3 linked regions of the Alligator mississippiensis genome follow. The protein of the gene in region 1 binds, or shares a complex with, the protein of each later gene. Links are inferred from orthologs where the notes say so. Each region holds a gene or a part of one and is shown in the gene's direction. Other genes may lie near its edges.

Region 1 (8,085 bases):
GGACTATGGTGTTCATTGTAATATTTCTGTGTTAACTGTATTCGTATTGTAACAGTGTTGCATGCCTCTGTTTCCCTGTAGCTAACATAGGGGAGAAGGGTGGGGGGAGGTGGGGGAAATGGGTTATAGAGACAGTGAAGCTGGAGTTTTTGGTCTACATGAAAGAAGACACATCCATTGCATCCATCTACAGAGACTCAAATAGCTTTGCTGACATTTTAACAAAGGTGAGGATTACAGATGTCTAGGGGAAACAGGGAAATAAACTTTGGGTTGCATTTGGTCTGCCCAACAAGAGGTAAAGTCCCTCTCTCAGGAGCTAGGTTTCTGAGTCAGGGTTATGGACATAAATGGGAGGGTAAGGAACAAAAAGTCAGCAGGAGTGTCTCAGAATGGGAGAGAGACAGGGCTCCCCCCATGCTTTAGAGGCCACACCTGGTCTGGTTTTGGGATACACTCTGAGACCACACAAAATCCAGGTGGTCCCAAGCAATCACCCCCTGGAGGGCATTCTGTAGTAATAATATCTTTGAAACTGGCAATTCATCACATATCTCAAGACCCATTTTATGTGTCATACACATTAAGTTTTCTGTTCCTTTCCTTATTTGGAGCCAGAGCCCATTGAGATCAGTGGGAGTGTTATCAGATATTTAAGTGGACTGTGGATCAGGCCTTGAAAGACTGAAGATCTAGACTGACATCCCATTCATCGCAGCCAGAAAGTTTAGAAATAGGGCCATCTGGACATCCATATTCAGGAAGCAGAAGCTGGCAGCATATGGTGGCACATTTCCAGATAAAAGTGAGTTTTTCTCCTCCTCTCTTTTCCATGTGTTACTGAAGCAAGATTTTTGGTTATACAGTATTTTCATTTACAGAAGTGGACACTGTTGTGACAGGCTATCATGGGGTACCCAAATCTACACTGATCCAATTTGGGGGGAATTATGTGAGAAAACAGTGCCCCCAAAATGAATTGCTGCAATTTTGGGAACACCCTCCAAGGCTTCTCCACGCTAGGTCACATCATTCTGCTTTTTTACAATTTCAAATGGTTGCCTCCCATTAATTCTGTATTTTGTGGCACTTCCCTGGTGATAATATGGAACCAAGGCCCCCTCTAAACTTCGATTCTCTTTGGTTCCAGTCAGATTCTGATGCATCAAATCCATCATAGCTCTTAAATCATTCAGAACCTTTGGACAAACTTGGTGGTTTGTTCCCCCTGTCTCCATGCTACCCTCTCAGGAGTCACGGACAAGCTCAAGAGGGCCCTTGATCTTCCAGCTATATGAAAGGTCAAATGCAGCAAACCCCATGGACTTCCAATAGGCAAAAGGTATGTAGACCAACATCATATCCCACTTACCTGCCCTCTTAGTTGCATAAATTTGTCACAGTGGCTATAAATAATACATCTACTGCTGGTTGCACATGAGGAGCCATATACCTATTGAAGTAACTTGTTGCAAAAAAACTGAAAATGTAATTAACTTTGCAATGTAAAAACATCCCATTGTATTGTATATCCAGAACATAGCAACAGAAACAGTACTCTTAACAGGAGTACCAAAATCAGGACAACATATTACAAATCTCTCAAAACAGTCATTCTACATTGTTTCCTTGCATAAATAGCAGCTCCCCTATTTAAACATACATTATAGAAAAATTAAATTTCCTAAATACCCTGTAGACTACTTCCCCCCAAAGTGACATAAAAATGCCATGATTAAAAAATAAACACTACTAATGCCCAATTTCGAAAGCAAATGCTCTTAGTGCAATTCCAAATTATAGAAGCTTAAATTAAAATACGCAAATTAATTTTATAAGAATTATAAAAAGGTAATGGATGCATAGTGTTTTGGTATACCTTATTATACTTTTGTAATGGGTTGGAAAAAGGTTCAGAAATAAGCCTCAGGCATGACATGCTTGGTAACCAATCTCTTCTTAACCTTTTGAATTAAAAGTTGTTTAGACGTTATACCGGTGATTCTCAGTCAGGGTACAATGGCATGCCTTGATATCCTTTCAAGCGTGCTACACAATGTTATTACTTCTGTTAATTGCACAAACACAATTCACAAGATAAACCCAGAGATTTCAAATAGGAATCCACAGTGTTAAACCCGTTCCAACCTGCTATGGGCTTTCTGAGTTCTTTGCAACAGAAAAATAGCTTTATTGTTTTTCTGCAGTCAAAAAAATGAGTGAAAACTAAGAGCTGGCATTTTCTGAGGGGCACGTCAAAACTATAAAAGGTTGAGAGCCACCAGTTTAGACACCGGGCTTCCGCAATCCCACAAGCCCAAATTGCTCTAAAGTGGAACAGCACTGAAGACATTTCAAGGTGGCTTTTAAATTGGCACCAGAAGCTCTAGATTATGGGGAGAGGGGAAAAAAAAAAAAAAAAAAAAAAAAAAAAAATCAGCTGACCACCCCACCCTATGGCACAGTGACACCAGCCTTGGAACCATCACCTCCAGGAGCTGGCTCCTTGGGGAGTGACATCACAATGGCGGGATCCACCCGGGAGCATGGCGCAAGTGCACTGCAAATGCACAGCGCTGCTTCCCCAGCCTAGTGAGTCCCCCTGGTCACCACCTCCCCAAACCCTGTGTCTTGGGATGAGATGGGAAGTTGGTTCCCTAGAACCAACCAGCTTCAGCCTCATCACCAGGGATTCTGGTTTTCTCCAGTAAAAAAAAAAATCCCAAATTTTCTGACTCAACCCCCCCCCCCCCCCCCAATCCACATTTTTCTGTGATTAAAACAAAAAACCCTCCCTCTCTCCCTCTCCCTCGGGTCCTCACGGAGGGCCGTGATCTCTGTGAGGCCCTCTCACTGCGCTACTCCAGCCCGAGGGCACCCTCCATTCTCGCCCACCACGTCTTGATGGAATATATGTAATAGGGAGGCTGCCTTGTGTTACCTCGGGCCTGTCAGCTCCTGGACCCCTCGTGGGTCTCCCCGTACAATGGGCGCTACCCAAGTGCCCTAGCCTTATGGGCTATGCGTGGCTCCTACCTCCCCTGATACCACGCCCCAAGCCTCGCAGACGTAAAGGACGTTGTTCGGTCTATATGCCCGCTTCCCAGGCCTCCTCTCTAATGTGGCCCACTCTGGGCTCCCTGTCTCATGCCCAGCCTCTTGCTGGGACTCCCGTCTAGCCCACTCTGGGCCTCCCCACTCTGGGCCTCCCCTGCCAGTGTGGTTCCGCTTCAGGACTTTCTAGCGGGCCTCCGGTCCTATGGGCCAACTGCACGGACACCCTCCCTGACTCTGGCTCCCTGCGCTGCTACTCCCTGTCCTCTCAGGGGCAACCGCAGCACACTGCCTTGGTCTGAGGGGTATTGCCGCACTAGCCTGCGGTCGGGCTCGCTATACCCGTGCGCCCACACTGGGCTACTCAATAAAACCCAATGGCGTTCCCCCTCTCCGGGGCTCGCCACGCCCGCACTGGGCTACTCAATAATGTACAAGGGCATTCCCCCTCTCTGGGGGCTCGCCACGCCCACACTGGGCTCCTCAGTAATACCGCCCCTTTCCTGGGGCCGGGGGCTATGCTCCCCCACACGCAATCCAGGGTCTTGGTCCCCGTCCGCAACCTACGGGTTGCGCCCACAACCCACTGGCCGCGCTCCTCGCCACCAGCTGCTCGTGCAGTGGCGTGCAAGCTGCGCCTTCCCTGGCGCTATACAGGGGGCTATGTTCCCCCACACGCAATCCGGGGTCTAGGTCCCCGTCTGCAACCTACAGGTCGCGCCCGCGACCTACTGGCCGCGCTCCTCGCCGCCAGTTGCTCATATACTGGCGTGCGAGCTGCGCCTTCCCTGGCGCTGTGTAGATAATGCGCCCTCTTGGCGCTAGGGCACCCCACACTCTCTGGGGTCCCTATAGTTGAGGCCTCCTCCAACCCCTACAGCCTCACCCAAGCCTCCGGGTGTAATAACACAAACACAAAGCAAAACCACAAGCCCCTAGGCTGTAACACAAATGCAAGCCGCATGGCCATAACTCCTCATCATAGCTCAAACCTCCAGGGCTATCATGAGCTGTACTTGCGACTTAGGCTCCTTCCCATATCTCGGCTGAGGGAGCTCCTGCCTCCCTGGCTGCTGGCAGAGAACTGCCAGCCTGGCCTCAGCCCTGAGCTTTATAAGGGCCAGGCCCTGCCCCCTACAGGCAGCTGGCTCCGCTTGGTTGCTCCGGCAACCTGCAGCTGCGCTCATTACCTGAGCAGCCTCAGCTGGGCTCGTTATGTCAGGCCAGGGCGCGCTCACTTGCTCCCTGGCAGTTTCTCCACTCTAGGAGCAGGGGCACCGAGGTGCCCTGCGACAATCATATTATCACATTTTTCTGTGATTAAAATGAAACACCACTAATATGTGTGCATATTAGTGGTGTTTCATTTTAATCACGGAAAAATGTGATACATAACATTTTATGTATGTACATATTTTATGTATCACATTAGATGAAAAAGTGAACCACTATACACGCACACACACACACACAGTAGATACTACGATCCCATGCAATCAGTCCCGTGGCGCCACAGGCAGGCGGGAAGTATGTACTCTGTGTGTGTGTGTGTGTGTATATGTATAATATAATGTGATATTTAATACATACATATTATATATGTGTGTGTGCCTGTGTTTAATTTTAATAAGGGAAAAAGGAGAATTTAGTTGTTTTTTTTAATCAGAAAATGTGGGAATTTTTTTAAACGAGAGAAAACCAGGATCCCTGCTCATCACCGCGGGAGAGGCAGGGAGGCACTGGGATGGAGGGGGGTGGGAGCCAGCCCCGTGCCAACGCGGGGCGCAGGGAGGGCCAGTGCCGGCAGAGGGGCGCAGTACCAGGCGCGGGGGGCCGGGCTGAGGCGAGCGGGGCCGACACGGCGCCGGGGGCGGGGGAACGTTGGTGCCGGGGAGGCGGTTGGCGCCGCGAGGTGGGGTGGAGGCGGCTCCGGCGGGGGCGGGGAGGGCCGGCAGCGCCGTGCGCCGCTCCCAGGCGGAGGCGGGGGCAGCGTGTCCGGCCCAGCCCCCTCGCTCCTTCCCTCCCTCCCCGCAGCTGGCTGAGCTCGGGGCTCCCTCGGGGACACCCGCCGGCGCCGCCCGGGCCCGGAGCTGGAGACAGAGCCGCAGGCTCGCAAGGCCGCCCCTCCCCCCCTGCCGCCGCCGCGGCTGCTGAGAGGCAGCCGGAGTCCCGCGGGGGCCGCAGCAAGATGGCGGGTAGGTGCCGGCCCCCTCCCCCCTCGGAGAGCCGGGAGCCCTGGGGGGCCGGGCCAGGCCGGGCGGGGTGGGGCGGGGCTGAGGGAGGACGGGGGCAGCGCGGGCGGGCACTACATTGTGCGCGTCTCCCCGCAGATGTGTCGCTGCTGCAGGAGGACGCGCAGGAGGAGGTGGACGCATGTGAGTACGGCCCGGGCTTTACCCCGGCGCCTGCTTCGGCCCCGCCCTGCACGCAGGCACGCACGCAGCCGCGGGCGGGCCGGAAGCGCGGGGCGCGGGGCGCGGACAGCCGCGGAGGAAGCGCGCGGGGCGGAGGACGAGTGCGGGCGGGGCAGGGGCAGGGCTCGACCCTGGCGAAGCAGCGGGCACGGGTGTCGCTCTCCAGGTTGTGGTATGTGTCCATGTCCTGCATTGCTCCCTGCCTGTCTTAAGCTGCTCCCTGTGTCCGTGGGTTAAACTGCTCCCCGTCTCTGTGTATATCTGTGTGTACATCCGAAGCTGCCCCTCTGTCCCCATGCCTCCCCTTGTGTGCGGTGTGTCCCTTACGCCCCTCCCCATGTGTGCACGTCCCCTACACCCCCTCTGTGTTTGTGTGTGCACGTGTCCCCTATGTCTCCATGTGTGTGCGTGCGTGTGCACGCGTGTCCCCTATGCCCCTTCCTGTATGTGTGCATGGGTGTGTGTCTCCTCTGTATGCATACACGTGTCCCCTATGCCCCTCTGCGTGTGCGCACGTGTCCCCTACACCTGTGTGTGCGTGCATGTGTGCACGTGTCCCCCACACCCCTCCCTGTGTGTGTGCATGGGCGTGTGTCCCCCATGCCCCTCCCCGTTTGTGTGGGTGTGGCTGCCCCCCCCCCCCCCTTCTTGCCCCGCAGGAGCCAGGGTGTTTGGGATTCACCAGCTGGGCATGTGGGTTGTGCTGGTTGCATGAGGCTCCTTGGGCTCTTAAACTCTGAGGAAGCTGGAGTCTGTTTCCCGTGCACTTGCCCAGGATAACCGCGTTATTCAGTTCTCCGTAACAGCCTGACGCCAGCATGAGGACGTGGTGAGATTAGGATGAGGCTAAGACTTGCAGAGGACTGACCCCATTCAGAAACTGAGGACCTTTGTGTAAAGGATCTAGGGAGCAAGCAAGGAGAAACCCTAGGAAAGCCTGTTGTGTCTGTGACCTCATCCAAGATGTGTTTTTTTTACTCCCTGAAGGGTTTTTTTCCCCCTTTAAATTGCTTTCTTCTTTGTTAATGAAAATGCTTGCAATGAGGGAGAATGAATCTGGCGTTGTGGCAGTATAGTAGAAAGATGGATGTAGAATTCTGTATTAGCAACAGAAAGGGTGTTCGTTTTAGGTAAAGAAACTCTGTGCAGTGACGGGTAGTTTGTGGTATTAGATGTGACAGAAAGTACCTCATCGTATAAATAAGTATTCTGAAATTCTAGCTATAGAGGAGAGCTGGAAACAGAACAAAGGTGATATCAAATGCTAACTATAAGGTAGGGATGAAGAAACATGGCTCTTTTATGTGGCTTCTGTTTTAGATGTCAGTCCTGCACTCTGCTGAGGCATGCCTGTGCTCCTATCTGGAGACTGATAGTCAGTGTCTGTTTGCAGCCTATGTGCCGCCATAAAATTCTTTATGGAGGTACGAGAACTGAGTGAACAGACATCATAGCCCTTTGTTGGGCCAAAAGTGCTTAAATTTTGTGGCACCAACAAGGGTACTAACAATTTGTGCTGCCTTTTTGCGTGACATCTGTTTACTTATGGCAGGAGACTGTGGGCTGGCAGAATAACCTCTGATGCATGTGTGCAAGTGTGAAGGGCTTCTCCTACCTGCACATTATAGTGGGGGTATTATGCCCCTAGCTCTGCAGATGTGGAGAGGGGAATTTCTAGGAGTTCTGCCCTCTTCTTGCACATGGCCTTGGTGCCTGGTACCTTTTTTTGTTGGTGCCCCTGGGTTGGGGTGCTCCCTGCAACCAGAAGAGGGAACACCAGGGAAATTCTCCCCCCCATGCTTTGCAGACACAAGCTGGGGGAATCCCCTCCTGAAGGGCTCCCCTGCATCCCAACATGGGGGCGAATTTACAAGTTGGGGCTTCCCCCCTTGTAAATGCATACCCGAACTCAGTGCTCGTTTCTTCCAGGATTGGGTCCTTGAAGCCCTGGGAGTGGCAGGATATGGACTGTGGACAGCGACAGGTCTGACAGTGTCTGTTAGATGTCTCTGAAGTGGATTAGCTGTGCTCCAAAGAGGATGTCTGTTTCCAGCCATTGACAGGTCGAAGGGGTGTCTCCCTGTGAGCAGATTGTGGCTTTAGTTTGGTTTGAAATAGTCTTTAAGGAATCTAAAACTAATAGCAGTTCATCTGTTAAATTGGTCAAAATTCAAGTGAAAACAAACACTTTTAAGCAGCATTCCCCCACTTCAGTGATAGTGATCCAGTGTTTCAGCCTTGTATCCTGTGTTCAGATTTTTCATGGTGGACTAGCATGAGAGAGTTATCTCTTGTAAGGTTTCTTAACTATCTTTTCATTCAGTTTGACCAGATTTCAGATTTATAGCATATCTTTAATTTGTGTAACAGCTCTATATGAATGGGCAAAGATATCTCTTAGTCTTCCTTGTAACATTTTCCTTGAACGTAAAAGTCAGAACATAAATAAAGGAGATTACTGATAGAACATATATATGTTATAGCCGCCCTACACACACACAGTCTGATTCTTTGTTCTTAGCCTCCCAAAAATAGATGGAACATTATGGAAAGGAAAAAATTATGGTAAAAATCAAAGTCATCTACATACTTGGTTGTAGGTTGTGAAGATTAGATG
Region 2 (7,543 bases), on another chromosome or scaffold:
TTAATCAAACTTTATCAACAGACTCCCAAGACTTATGTACCTGTGGATGTGACCCCTGGGGCTGACAGATGCCATCCAGCAACCACCAAGGGGGATGTCTCACGAGGTCAATTACCCCTGGATTGGGTTAGCCCGAAAATTGGGGAGTCACCAAAGTCTGCCAGAGAGGGATAAAAGGCAGCAAAGAATGATCCCCCAATGGCGCCCTTTCTGACCTGACCAGCACCCTGCCTGCCCAGCCAGAAGGACCAGCCAGCAACCCCCTTCTGAAGCAACATCACACTGAAAGAACCCTCGACTGGCCATCGACAGCAGACTCTAGCACTTGGGGATAGGTATATCTTGACATCGGTGCTTAGTGTTCATAGCTAGCTACTGTGAGTAGGTGTGCATGAATGTGTGTGTCTGAGGGGATCAGCCCCAAGGTTTATGATCTGACTTTTGCATCCGTCTAATAAACTAGAATTCTATGATGATCCTGTGAGTTGGTCCTTTGTCGCCAACAGCTCTACCCCAAAGTTTAGTGTCATCGGCGAACCTGGCCAGTCCACTTCTGACACCAGTGTCCACATCGTTAATAAAGACATTAAAGAGAACAGGTCAAAGAATGGAGCCTTTAGGGACACCACTGGTCACAGAGTGCCATAATGATTCACTTCGTCAACTACCACTCTCTGGGTCCAGCCTCAGAGCCAATTCCCCAGCCATTGGACTGTGATGTAGCTGAGGCCACAGTTGGTCAATTTTTCTATGAAGAGATTATGGGACACCAGATCAAAGGCTTTTTTAAAGCCTTACATCAGGGGTGTCCAACCTCTTTGAATGTGGGGCCCGATCATGAACTTTTTATCACCTAGTGGGCTGGTGAGCCATATTCAAAAACCTCACAGGAAGCGGTATCACATCAGGAAGTGATGTCATGTGACCTTTGACATCAATTAAGTTGCAGGAAGTGACAATGAAATGGGTCTAACCAGTTCAAAACTCTCCCTCTATAGCATCCACCTCTGCCACTGTTTGGGACAGGATACTGAGCTAGATGGACCATTGGGCTGGACAAGCATGGCACTTTTTATGCTCTTCTGTTCTTTGGCTGAGCTTCCAAAATATGGCTGAGATTTGTAAAAAGGGGTAGATAGACATGTTACAAAGTTGTCATAAAAGATTTGAAGCCCTCTAAATTCCATTCATTTTAATGGAAGTTGACCTTTTGATTCAGCTTTGAAAATCTCAGCCCAAGGTGCCAACCAAATAAGTCAAAATATATTTTGCATTTCTATGCAGTGCATCTATGTGGGGCTCTCCAAGCATTTTACAAACATTATATTAACCTCAGGATATCCCTGTTTTTCAGAAGAAATGTGATGGTGAGGACATTTTGGGAACATCTCTCACTCTCTGTGTGATCTGCTTCTACTATCCTTGGACCACCCTAGAAGGGCCCTCACTACCTCATTTCCAGTTCAAAGCAGGTAAAAGTGTAAGTGGGTAGGAAGGGTTTATATTTTGGCAGCAGGTTTGAGTGGCTTGAAGCTAGTGAAGATGTACCCACAATTAGTCACTGACCAGAGTGGGAATACAGTTGTCCTCACTTATTAACATGGCTCCAAGGCCCGGCACTGTTTGTGCCTACATGTTGCTCTCATGTCCTCTTGCTTTCCTAAATCTCATGAGAGTAGAGGATTCCCATCATGCCTCCTGGACTGCCGTCACCCAATAGCTGTCCTAGTTTTAAGGTTGTGCTTCTGACTCTTTCATGGCTTCTTTTAGGGTGCACACTTAGAACTCTGCCTTTTCCTTCCCACCCATTTTGCTGAATTGTGATTATTCCTATGGGGCATGAATTTAGTCCAGTGGCTATGATTCTGCTTTCTCATACAGAGGTAATGACTCTCACAAAGCATGGCATATTTTAGTAGGATAAAAACATTTTGAAGGCCATACAGAAAACAATAAGCAGTTTTTACTCACATGAGCTTACCAGGTATCAACCACCTGCTACTTGGGTTCCTGGCAGATACAGACACAAGTTTATTAGCACATTGTTCCAGAGTGAGTCTCTGTGCCATAGCCTACATCAAGTCTCAGATCTAGGGAGCCTGACCCCTCCCCAGCCATAGGCTGGTCATGTAATACCAATCTGCTGGCCGGTGCAGACCCGGCTGGGCTCCTCCCATCCTCAGAAGCATGTGGGAAGCCAGCTTCAGCTGCATGCCACTTTTCCTGGCTAGTGCTGACCCAGCTGGGTCCGTCCCATCTGGAGCAGCACACGGCTGAAGTCGGCTTCTCACAAGCTGCTGGGGCTGGGAGGAGGCCGGCCAGGTCTGCACTGGCCAGCAGAAGCGGTGGCGGAGCTGTGTGCCACTTGGGACTGACTTGGTGCAGGCAGGGGGAAAATGCAGCTGAGCCCCTGCTGCTCCGGCCGGGCTCATCCCATCCTGAGAGGCACACGGCTCTGCCACCACTTCTGCTGGCCGGTGCAGACCCGGCTGGGCTCCTCCCGTCCCCAGCAACATGTGGGAAGCCGGCTTCAGCTGCATGCTGCTTTTCCTGGCTAGTGCAGACCCAGCCGGGTCCATCCCATGCAGAGTATGTTGGACAAGCCTGCCTTAAGTCACCCTTGTTTTAGCAGAGTTTTTCAGATTGAAGCCCATGGGACTGTTTTCTTCTTCCTTCTTTCTAATTCTAAATGTAGTTTTAGCCAAATATGACACAGCTAATAAAAAGCTGCTTGGAGCAAGGGAAAAGAATGGCTAGAGACCACCCCTGCTTACCTAATATGCTCTCAGATGCACTTTGCTATGCTTGCAGTGACTGCCAAAATATTTTTAAATGCCCAACTACAGTGTCAAGCATACAAAAGAGACCTTAAAACTTTCACTTAAGTTGGCTGATTTTGTATAACAAGGGAAGACCATTCATACAAAGTAGTATCTCCCTACCATTCCCCAAAGTAGTATCACACTATGTGGCCAGAAGACAGGAGGACTTTCCTATGTCTCGGGCCCAAACCTGTGCTTTTCAAAAACAAACAAACACAACAAACTCCAACCAACCAACCAACCAACAAACACTTTCAGACCATTGCATACAGCAGTCAAGGAAACAGTTGCATACAGTTTCAGCCATGCCCTGGCTGAAGTCCCACTCTTCAGAGTTTGTGCCGGTGGCAAGGTATGATTTTACCATCTTTGTTAAATGTTCTCATTTTCATTAGGTAGATAAATACATATTCACAGCCAGTTGTCTCATGGTCACTGCTGAGGCCCAGAAGTAGGTCCCAAATAAATGCCCACAGTTGAACACAACTAAACTGTGGAGGAGTTCAGAATTGGTTATTGATTTTGTGATTAGCCACAATCTCTCTTAGTGGGGTATAGCAAAAAATTGAAGATGGGGAAAGAAAAGAGTTAGCTGGAGAGAGACCTTACCAGGGTGGGGTTGTAGCACACTAGGCTTAGCAAAATTTATTCTTATAAAAAAATGTCAATGTCCACTGAACAAAAAAATCAAAGATTTAATCCTCTGAATTAAGTGCCTTTTGCAATGGACCTCTGTATGCAGCGGAAGGATAGGAAGGTCCCAGAGACACCAGTGAGGTTGCCTACTTTTTCAATTTTGGTGGAGTCTTTAAGGAAAAATCTGTCAAGCATATGCTCTGATGTTGGCAGCAGCAGCAGCTTCTGTTTGTTACTGCAGCTGGTGAGACGCATCTCAGTCTGTTCAGTATAGTCCAGAAGCCGTGTAACTTTTGCACTGCTTAGCCATGAATGAGCCTAATAGAAAGGATGCTTTTGCAGAAGGATTACTTCATCTGCATTGGACAAAACAGAAGCAACCCAACATCTGAAGCTGGGCCTTAAGCATGATCTATCTATGTAAGCGGGAGGAAGGAAGGGAAAAAAGAAGCTTCTTAGAGCACAGGCTTCTTTGCCAGCTGGGCGTCTGCTAGGACTGCCTGACCACAACCTCAGCCCCCCACTCTGCTCCTACACAGGCAGTTTCAGGAGCACCAAGGCATGGTTTTGCCATCTCCGGTTGGCTCCTTCCCCTCAGATGAGCTGTAGGCCTGTCTCTGCCACTCTGGGGGCAGATCTTGGTACCCCCAAGCTGCTCCTTACGGCTGCAGTTCCTGGCTCTAGCAGCTTGCTATTGACCCACAAGGGCAGCTCTGGAAACACAACCCAGGTGTTTTCTCACCCCGAGCAGCTTCGTTCCCAGAGTACACTTCAAAGCCCTGACCCACCGGGCGGCTGGGAGCCACCTGGGCCGTGCCCCCTATGCCATCCCACCTGGCCGAGCCCCCACGTGCCAGAGGTGGCCACGCGAGGCAGCCCTGCGGCTGAGGGGAAAGCGCCGCGAGGTGGGGCTGCCCCGGCCTGGCACTGCGGGCTGGGTGTGCACGGCTGGGGGGCTGAGGTGAGGCGCTGCCCCGGCACGTGCCGCAGCGCCGACACCTCCCGCCCGCGAGTGCGCTGCCCCTTTAAGCGGCGACGGCCCGTGCCGCCGCTGGCTGGGAGACCCCGCGCTGTAGTGAGCGGTGAGACCAAGATGGCGGCCGCGCAGTGACTGAGGCGGAGACGGACAGGCCGCGCCGCGCCCCCGCCCGCCGACAGGACCGGATCGGACCCGACCTGACCCGACAGGACCGGACGGGAGGGGGCCGGGGCCGGGGCCGGGTCGGGCCGCCCGCCCGCAACGCAGCGAGCCCGCGGAGCCAGGCCGCAGCAGCAGTAGCCGCCGCCGGCGGAGGAAGGAGAACATGGCGGCGGAGCCGGGCCAGGAGTGAAGCCGCCGCCTGCGAGCGGAGCCCATGGGGCGGGCTGGGCGCTGAGGCCGCCGCCGCCGGGCCGAGCAGGGGGAGAGGCCGCGCCGGCCCCGCGCTGCGAGCGGGGCAGGAGCGAGCGAGCGAGCGGCGGGGCCGTGGCCGTGGCCGGGGCCGGGCAGCTCCGCACAATAGAGCCGGGCCGCCGCCGATGTCCCTCTGACGCCACTCGTGCTCCCTGCCCTTGACCGGGCTGCGCCCCCTCGGCCCGCCCGGGCCATGCGAGCCGCGGCCTGAGGAGCGCCGGCCGCTGCGTGGGGCCCTGCCCGCTGCCGCCGCCGCCGCCTCCCGTGCGGGCCGCCCCCTCCTCCTGTCTCTCCAGGTGTCCCAGGCCGGGCGGCTGCGGCGCGGCCGGCGGCAGGATGACTGACACCCGGCGGAGGGTGAAGGTTTACACGCTGAACGAGGACCGGCAGTGGGATGACCGGGGCACCGGGCATGTGTCCTCTGGCTACGTGGAGAGGCTGAAGGGCATGTCCCTGCTTGTCAGGGCAGAGAGCGATGGTAAGTGTCTGAGGTTGCGGCGCTTCCTTGCTGAAAGCAGCTGGGGCTTGGCTTTCTGTAGTGAGCCTGGCCCCTGCCCTTCATCTGGGATCCCTGAACCAGCCAGGTAACAGCTCTGGGTCACTCCTGTTAGGCGCGGGGATAGGGCTGGAGATTGGCGCCTTGCACAAACATTGTAGTACGCGTGGTGTTTACACTGGATACGCGGGCACTGGCCTGCCTGCCAAATACGCTCCGTTCTGGTTGCAGGCTGCAAACCAGGCTGTCTTCTGCCTTTGCCTGTGGGATTGGCTTTGTGGGAAATGTTTCCCTGGATCCTTTCTGAAAATGATGACAGGCTTCCCCTGATGGAAGGAACTGTTCAGAGTTTTATTAGTGTCTTTATATCTGTTCTGTAGGCTTAAAATGCAAACGCGCATCTTGTGCCAGATCCACACATGCTGTAGCATTGCTGGTTTCAAGGCAGTACAAAAACACCTTTTGGGTATCTTCCCCCCCCCCCCCCCCTTGGACTAGCCACAGCGCTCAACACTCACCAAAACTGATTTTGAGTTGCTGCATAATGCTTCATTTTAAGGGAATTTATGAATTTATTACCCATTTGCCAGGCACTCCAAACATGTTTCTCTAGAGCACTGTGTGTAGGTTTTATGTAAGAATTATCCATGGCTATTGGATCAACAAGTTAATGGTTGTTGTGGTTACTACAGATTTTATTTTAAAATACATCTTGCTTCATGTTAATAGTGGTACGGAGCAGCAAAGAAGATAGATTTAACTGGTTAAACCTCAAGTTTATAGTTGTGAGAGCCTTCTGTCCTGTGGACCATCTTGCAGACTGCTGTTGGTTGCAGGCAGCAACCAAACTGAAATTAAAGCTAGACAACTTCAGTGAGGTCACAGATTTCAGCCAGTGGAGGGAAAGGTCCTGAGAACCTTCACTATTATGCTAACTCATGACATCCTCTAGTGAAGGACTTTAAACTTAGGAAACTAATAATCAAAACCCTTCCTGATTGATTCAGTTAATGATAATTTAGCAGTTTAGAGAATAACAAACTACACAAAAGCTGGATGTATATATATAAAATAGGTTTTTACCAAATCATTTCAAGACTGTCCTCTATTAGCCCTTATGAAATAAGACAGACATTCAAGATTGGAACAGACTTCCACTGTTGAATCTCAGTACCAGAGTTGAGAGGTAGAGGGAGGAAACCATTAGTGGTGTATCTAAAACCTGGCTTACTTTTGTGTTTATTTAGCATCTTTATAATGGATATAATTATAGCACATTCTGTCTCCATGACTGCTGTTGAAGACCCTTAATAAATAAGTAGAATAAAACTGAAACGCCTCACAAAGGAAACTGAAACATAGAGTTAAATATATAAAATGGAGTGGGCTGAATTTGAAGCGTCAACAGAGCCTGTTTTAAAGTATTGTCTTTGCGTTGATTTCAGTAGAATTTGTGTGTTGTCTCAAGGCAGAATTGAACCTAAATAACATTCAAGTTGGTAGTTTTTTTGCTGTAATTTTAAAGTGGGAGTGAGATGAAGTATTTTAAATAATGTTTTAATGTTTATTTTAGCATGACTAAATACCCATTTATATACGTTATATTTTCAAAAAAATATGTAACTGTCCAACTGAAAGTGTTCAAACTTGTTGCTTTCAGTTACAGTAGTCTTATTTAATGAGATGTCACACCTGTTGTACCTTTTACAGTATATGCAGTTTGTTATTGGGTAATGAAATCCTCTGCACAAAGTGTTTGTGGCTAATACCAGTAGGACTTTGGTAACTGTTACTTTTTTTCCCACAGTTTACCATATCAGACAAGACCAGAACTTTACAAATGCATCTTCTTTCCAAAAATAAGCTACTGGAAATTGGGGTGGAAAATGGAGGGAGCAGAGGGTCCAGTCCTCTGGGAGCTGAACTGGTCTTCCCTTCCCTTCTTGTTGACCTGTCCAGTAAGCCAAACTGGCTGACCATTAATTCTCAAGCCGGGTGGGCAGCCAGCAGTACCTGCTATGTCCCACAGCTAGGGGGTTAACAGAGCAGTCATAGCTTTTTGCTTCTCCTTCCCCTGTCACTGCAGGTGTCTGTTTTCATTGGGGAAAAAAATACCCTATGTGTATTTTCAAGGAAAGATTTTTCTTTTTCTTTCCATTTCTACCCCTTCTCTTTCTCCCCCTCACCCACCCCATT
Region 3 (7,273 bases), on another chromosome or scaffold:
ACTGGAATAAGCCTGTCCACACAGATTGTGGAAATTATACTGGTTTAACTGTTATTTTAAATGAATGCCTGAGATAATATTGAAAAAAAACAACTTTCCTGTGCAGACGGTAGGTCCTGATCCTGCAAACAAGTATGTCTGCACACCAGAGGAGGTGGCACATATTAAAATATCAGCATACACTACATTAACTACTCTGCTCTAACTCTAATGTGAACACTTGCTACAGAGTACGTGGCACGAATGAATGCAGGCAAGTCCTTATTCATATGCATAATCTGTAGTGTAATGAATAGTCCTAGCAGCAAGCCCTGATGCCTTATTTTCTACTGGTGCCAAGTCACATATATTTATAATCAATGTTTGGAGTTCTGCCTGACTTTCAAAGCTTTGGTATTCCCTATGTGGCTGAGGCAGCAATGGACCTGATGCTGCAACTGTTAATTGTGTGTTTAATTTTAATGCATAGAATGCTTTTTCAAGTTGCAATGACAGGAAACCCAGTTCTTCACTATCCTTTCTATAAAGTCACTTGTGCAAAGGGTAAAATGCTAATAATTTGATCTCTGTGCCTTTTATGCCCGCTCTGACCAGGTATAAAAGTGGAAGATGGGTATGAAACAGGGTGAGTAAGCTGCTTGTTTAGTAGCTGAAAGCTCTGCTACCTTTAGAAGCAGAGGTCTTTTTTCTGACAATCCCAGTTGAAATGGGGATTTCTTATATTCAGATACCTCTGAATATGGTGAGGGCAACAAAGTAGGAGAGGACTAAGAAACTGATGTGTGTGTGACCTGTTTCTTTTCCTCTCCAAGGGATATTTTTTTCAAATATCCCTTGGAGAGGAAGTCAGAAATCAGCTTGCTTTGAAGTCAGAAAATAGAACTGGGGTGAGAGAAGTATAAATGGGCTTTTCCTAGCAGTCAAATCCTGCAGACAGGACAAACTGTGGCCACTGATAGCTTTCATTACCCCAAAATGTATCCTTGTAACAGTATCCTTGTTACAGAGCAAGGGCAATTGATAGTATAATTTACTAATTTAAAATGTATGTAAAGTGATCAGTCTCCATATGCAGGTACCATAGAAATCTTGCATTAAATCTTGTCTTTAAATGAGAAAAGTCAACACAGAAAATTCTTCATTCACCTCCAGAATTTGTTTCCCAGTTTCAAAAAGACAAATGTAACTTTTCACAATCCCAGTTTATAGCATTCTTCCACCCAGAAATGAAATACAGCTACTCCTCGCTTAACATTGTAGTTACATTCTTGAAAAATGCGACTTTAAGAGAAACCATGTTAAGCGAATCCAATTATGTCACAGTAGTTACCTACTAGCAGGCGGCAGCCAAACAACATTATAACTGAACATTGCACGACTTTAAACGAGTAAGTTCTCTAATAGATCAGTGACGTAATAACGAAACAACGTTAACCAGACGACGTTAAGTGAGTACCTATATTTAATAAACCTGCATTTGAGGCTATAGCATTCTGTTACCAACTAAATTGTTATGAATTCTGTTTGGTTGTAGGACTGAAGACAATGCAGTTTAAAGAAATACTTACTGTTCTTCATTGTCTAGAACATGCTTTAAACTAGAAAAGTGATATATTGCTATAGTTTCAACGCTAGCTCCTTGTATCTCGGAAACAAGTTTATTTTTTTCTGTTTTAACCCAGGCTCTCGGTTGTAGAAACAACTTGATTCTAAAATAAATCTTCAGATTTTCTCCATAGGAAAATCATGTCTAAAGATACTGCTAAGCTCTACACCATCAGTTTCTGGCCTTTTATGTCACAACCACACTTCTGGTCAGCTCTTAACCTGGTTTCCAGCATGAATTTAATTGCCATAATTGAATATTTGTGGGGCTTATAACCCAACTCTTTAAATGCTGGAACTGCATTTGGGGTCGCAATCACTAGTTTTGGAATTGCTGCTCCACAGCTTGGATTATCTTCTCCAGGGGCAAACACGCAAGGAGAATGGGAGGACTCCATAGTCATAAATTCCCTTTTATTCTGCCAGGAGGATTAAATTTGCTTGCTCTTATAAAATAAGCTAAGAGGCTAGCTGATACAACCTGGACAATCCCCTATGCTACCGCACTAGCTCCTCTGCAGTGTAGCTCTACTGGCATTTCTCTACAACGTTGTCCACTTTGCATTAGACTGTGCAGTCTTTTACAGGCTTTTCTTTTATCATCTTTTACAGGAGCTCTGCACGGGACTGAAGTCTGGACACTGCATCAGTTCTGGCCAGGCCTAAGCCCACCTATTCTTTTTTGTGTGTGTACTATGTACAGAGTCCACATCCTGCCAGAGCATGGGCTTCAAAGCGGGTTCAGAAAGGGGGAAGGGGCAATAGGGAGTGCTGATGCAACAGAGGCAGGTGACCCTCCTCCCCTGTATAGCAGCAACCTAACCATGCAGCTGAGCGCCCAGGGCAGCTGCAACATGCAGGGGCTATGGCAACTTCCAGTAGTTGCCACATTGCTAACATGATTGGCGGGAACTGTTGTTTTCCACCCTGCCCCACAAGCTGGGGTTGGGGCAGCTGCCCCTGTCATCCCACTCCAGTTCTCCCCACTACAAAAAAGAACAGAAGTGTGTGCGTGCAGGATTGCCTGGAGGCACAGACCTCAGAAGACTGGGACGTGATCCAGGCCTATATCGGGATTTTCCCCTAATAGTAAATTACCGCGTATGTGCAGCTCCCATATGCCTAGAATAACAGTTGGCGGCAATATTTGGATTTACAGCTTAACTTTTACGAGCATTTTCATGTCCTTCCAGAAACGATCGTCATGGGCGCTTTCATTCTACAGAAACATTCGCAGCGGATAAGTCTCCGCTTTGCAATTGGCCGCCTGAAACCTGCGGGTCCCGGGGACTTGGATTCTCCTAAACCTCAGGCCTCTGCTTCATCACAGGCCTTGCTCTTTGCCCCGTTCAGGTCCTTGCTGGTTCTGGGACCCCAGCCAGGGAAGCTGGGAGGAGAGGGCAGAGGTCCACAGCGTTTGCCCTGTGTAGGCTTTTGCACATAGGGGAAACACAGTGGCTGGTTTAAGGCTTATTGAGGTGTTTCCTGAGCTGCTTTTGGAAGCCTGTTGCTGTTCCCCAGTTGCAAACCAGGTGGGATGCCTTCTGCCATGGGGGCTGCCGGCCTGCCCCCTTCCCTTCACGTGATGGTGCCAGCCAGAGAGGGCGCTCTCTGGGACCCCAGACTGGAAGCATCTAGCCCGCTCCCTTAGCAGGAAAGGAAATATGTGAAAATAGGGTTTTTGTTTTGTTTTTTAAACTCGTGTCAATGTCCTTATTTCAAACAGCCCTGAAGTGCGCCGCGCTCAGCCTCCCCGAGGCCAAATGCTGAAGTGAGCCTGGGGATGTATTCAGGGGTGTGCTCGGGGATGTATTTGGGGGGTGCATTCAGGGGTGTATTTGGGGATGTATTTGGGGATGCATTTGGGGGTACATTTGAGGATGTATTTGGGGTATATTTGTTTCAGGGGTGTATTTGTATTTAGGGGATGTATTTGGGGATGCATTTGGGGATATATTTGGGGTATATTTGTTTTGCAGGTGTATTTGTGTATTTGGGGGATGCATTCAGGGCTGCATTTGGGGGTGTATTCATGTATTTGGGGGTATATTCGAGGACGTATTGGGGTGTATTTGGGGATGCATTTGGGGGTACATTTGAGGATGTATTTGGGGTATATTTGTTTCGGGGGTGTAGTTGTGTATTTAGGGGATGTATTTGAGGATGCATTCAGGGCTGCATTTGGGGGGGTATTCAAGGACGTATTTGGGGGTGTATTTGTGTATTTTGGGGATGCATTGGGGAATGTATTTGGGGTATATTCCGGGGTGTATTTGGGGATGTATTTCGGACGATGCATTCGCGGACGTAGGAAGCGAGCCCGTGTGTCTCGCATTCCCGCGTGCCCCTGCGCACACCCAGTGCCGGCCCGAGCCCCCGGCGTCCCTGCGAGGGAGGGAGCAGGCCCCGCCCCACGGACAATGGAGGCCCCGCCCCCTCGAGGAGACGCGCGAGGTGGGCGGGGCAGCCCCGCCCCAAGCCCCGCCCCAGCCGCGCGCGAGGGCCCCGGAGACGTAGCCCCGCCCCTCAGCGCGGCGGCGGCGGGGGCGGGGCGGGGCCGGGCGCGCGCACGGCGGCGGCGGCGGCCCGGCGCCATGTTGGGAGGCCGCTGAGCCCGGGGCTGGGTGTGCGCTGCGGCGGCGGCGGCGAGCCGGGGGGGGGGACGCGGGCGGACCATGGACCTCGAGCGGCTGCAGGAGGCGCTCAAAGGTGGGGCTGAGGGAGCGCCCCGGGGTGGGGGAGGAGGGACGACGCGGCCGGGCCGGGCTCTCACCGTGTGTTTCTGTCTCCTCCCGGCCGCGCCGCAGACTTCGAGAAGCGGGGCAAGAAGGAGGCGTGCCCGGTGCTGGACCAGCTGCTCTGCCATGTGGCCAAGACCGGCGAGACGCTGTGAGTGGCGGGCGGGGGTCGCGGGGGGGGGGGGAGGCGTCCCCTCAGGGCCTGTCAAGCGCGTGGACGGCGGCCGCCGAGGGACAAACTTCCTCAGGGCGTTCATTCCCCCCCCCCCCCCCGGTCTCCGTGGGCTTCCTGGTGTGTCCCGCCAGCCCACGGCTGCTCCCCACGGGCACACCGTGGCCAGCTCACAGCTCCTGGGGGCCAAGCAGCCGCTTTAGGGGCGGTCGGCGTGCCCTCTTCTAGGGTTTTGCTTCAAGCTTCCCTCCCCCCCGGGAAGGGGGCTGCGAGGGAGCCGGGCTGCTCCGCCGCGACTTCCTTGTCGTCTCACAATTTGGCAGGAAGGGGCAAGGCTTCGCCCCGGCGCCCGGCCGGCCAGGCGCTCACTTTCTGGCTCCCGGGCTGCCTCCTGGCTTTATGAGGCCTAGCGCCGGGGTCCGGGCTCGAGCGGCGTTTTGGCTTTGTCCGGGTTTTTATAGAGCGTATCTAGCTTTAAAAGACATCTGGCTCTTTTGTTCTTGCTTTATGTAACTCAAATCGGCGGCCTCGAAGGAAAACCCGAAGTTTTGAGATGTGTGTACTTTGCTCTTTGAGCCAAAGGCGTCAGCTCAGCAGAAAAAGCCCCAGCTTAACGCTCGTATGTGTGCCCACTAGCTCTTTATACGTATTGTTTTTAGGTGAAACGCTAGTTTTGCATACAACAGTTTCCTCTTTGGATAGGCTAATTTCTGCTTTTTTTCTTTTTTTTTTCTGAAATTGTCCTGGAGGTTTTTGTTTTTCTTGCCTGTGCCTCTCTCCTGAAACAATCCAAGCATAACAAGTTGTATAGGAGCTGCTTGTTAAGTAAATGCTAATGATGGTAGCAGGGTGATGCATTGTAACTGTACTGTTAGTGTTTGTTTGCATCGCCCTTTTGGAAATATGTGGATAAACTTCCTATTAAATTATACAAATAAAGACCTTGATGTTGCATAAGAACCTAAACGTCTTTCAGACTTGATGAACATTTTGTTTCTATTCATTCTTAGAATGTGCATTATCTATTTTGCCTGTTTTGGGGTTTTTTGTTTTGGTTTTTTTTAAGCCTCAGATACTTCAATTGTCCTAAGCTATTTTTAAGAAAAGTGACACATTGCTAAAAATGCAGCCAGTCTCTGGTGTTTTCCTTTGTCCACAAACAAGGCAAATTATGGGAATGCACATAGTCTGTCTCTATCATTACACTCAGTTTTGTTCCCATGAGCCATCAAAATCTAGATTATGTATCTGCTACTTCGTTTAGTTCACTTATAGCATATTTTAATTTAGAGAAAACGCGTGTTATCTTTAAAATAGAAAATCATCATCTGTTTGGTAAAATATATTATCACAAGACTAGGAGACGTGTGTAGAATGTAGGCCTAAGCCTTTCTAGTGGAAAGGAGCTGTCACTAAGTGCTCCAGTATGAAAATGTTTCAGGGATGGATTTGGTAACCGTGTTGGTCTGAGACTAAAAGAAATGCAAAAATCTAGAATTCTTGCTTCAGAAATGATACCTTTTATTAGACCAACTGAGAAATTGCAAAAAAAAAAAAAAAAAAAAATCTTTGTTGCAATTTCTCAATTGGTCTAATAAAAGGTATCATCTCTGAACCAAGAGTTCTAGATTTTTACATTCCATTATGAAAATGTTGTTGCAAAATTGTTTTTAAATGTGTGTGAATTTTATAAACATTGATTCCTGATAAGTTAAGTACTCTTCTTTTTTTTAAATTAAAGGAAACTGCCTTAAGATTTCTTTTCAGAAGATTGAGCATTTGACTTCAGCAACTATTTATACATATTTCCATTTTTAGAAAGTGTAATATTAGTGCAAAATTATTGGAATCAGGTGAACAGGTAGCAGCCATCTTTGGCTTTATGGGAACCAGACTAGCTTGATGTTGGAAGACAGATTTACGTACAGTGGAACAAAGCAAAATAATTTTTGCTTTCAGTCTTGTCTTAGGTCAGATTTCTAGTTTCAGAGTGAGTGACTGTGGCTTACATAATAAGATTCCCTCCCCTCACTCCCCCCCAAAAAAACCCAAACCCAAAAAACCCCAAACAGTTCTTTTGTGGCAATCGTATTTGATCTGCCAAATGATTTATTTAGCTAATATATATTTAATTTCAGTTTGCAAACACAAGTTAATCAAAAAGATCTCAAAATTCAGAGAAATGATATCACGCTATTTTATAGCCTGCAGTCACCGTTTCATGCAAATAAGGGCAGTTGCCATTTGATTTGATGGTACTGTTCACCTGGATGACTTCCTTGGATTGTGCGTGTGAAACTGTGCTAGTATCTAAAATACTTTTTAGGTACAGCAAAGCCAAGAAATAAAAGTATTAACTTGGTTTTGTTCTCCACATTTTGCTGTAGATGCTGGATCCTGTAAACAGTGAGACAAGTGTAATTTTACTCATTTATGTCTGAGACTGTTCACATAAGCAGAGTTAAACATACGCTTAAAGCATGCGTAAGATGACAGCCTATCTTTAACTTAGGCAGCATGGAGCCATGTAAAATAACTTCTTAGACTTGCTAAACAAGAATTATGACAGCACTGACTAAAAGTTGTTTCCTAATATCATGCTATTTGTAAGATATTATCTGTGCGATTCAAAAATCCAGTCTGCATTAAGTGTTGTAAAGTTGCGTAATTGTTTTTTGTCACACATTGGCTTTAAACTACACCACTATGAATTTGTAGTGGGGAGAAACCCTGTTGTCTTGCCCGCTTAGTTTCAGGC

The links.
Region 2: PPP4R1 (region 1) and PPP4R3A share a complex: the UniProt entries of both Homo sapiens proteins name them as parts of the PP4 complex. The link is inferred for Alligator mississippiensis from reciprocal best matches to the Homo sapiens genes PPP4R1 and PPP4R3A.
Region 3: PPP4R1 (region 1) and PPP4R2 share a complex: the UniProt entries of both Homo sapiens proteins name them as parts of the PP4 complex. The link is inferred for Alligator mississippiensis from reciprocal best matches to the Homo sapiens genes PPP4R1 and PPP4R2.

What each region holds. Positions count from the first base shown.
Region 1 is NC_081826.1:95,278,704-95,286,788, reverse strand, and holds the start of PPP4R1 (serine/threonine-protein phosphatase 4 regulatory subunit 1), read left to right. Parts: upstream 1-5,019; 5' UTR 5,020-5,242; coding exon 5,243-5,249; intron 5,250-5,384; coding exon 5,385-5,429; intron 5,430-5,572; exon of another isoform or gene 5,573-5,640; intron 5,641-8,085. UniProt on the Homo sapiens protein: Regulatory subunit of serine/threonine-protein phosphatase 4. May play a role in regulation of cell division in renal glomeruli. The PPP4C-PPP4R1 PP4 complex may play a role in dephosphorylation and regulation of HDAC3.
Region 2 is NC_081825.1:274,845,507-274,853,049, reverse strand, and holds the start of PPP4R3A (serine/threonine-protein phosphatase 4 regulatory subunit 3A), read left to right. Parts: upstream 1-4,526; 5' UTR 4,527-5,187; coding exon 5,188-5,329; intron 5,330-7,543. UniProt on the Homo sapiens protein: Regulatory subunit of serine/threonine-protein phosphatase 4. May regulate the activity of PPP4C at centrosomal microtubule organizing centers.
Region 3 is NC_081835.1:7,973,913-7,981,185, forward strand, and holds the start of PPP4R2 (serine/threonine-protein phosphatase 4 regulatory subunit 2), read left to right. Parts: upstream 1-4,191; 5' UTR 4,192-4,280; coding exon 4,281-4,314; intron 4,315-4,412; coding exon 4,413-4,494; intron 4,495-7,273. UniProt on the Homo sapiens protein: Regulatory subunit of serine/threonine-protein phosphatase 4 (PP4). May regulate the activity of PPP4C at centrosomal microtubule organizing centers.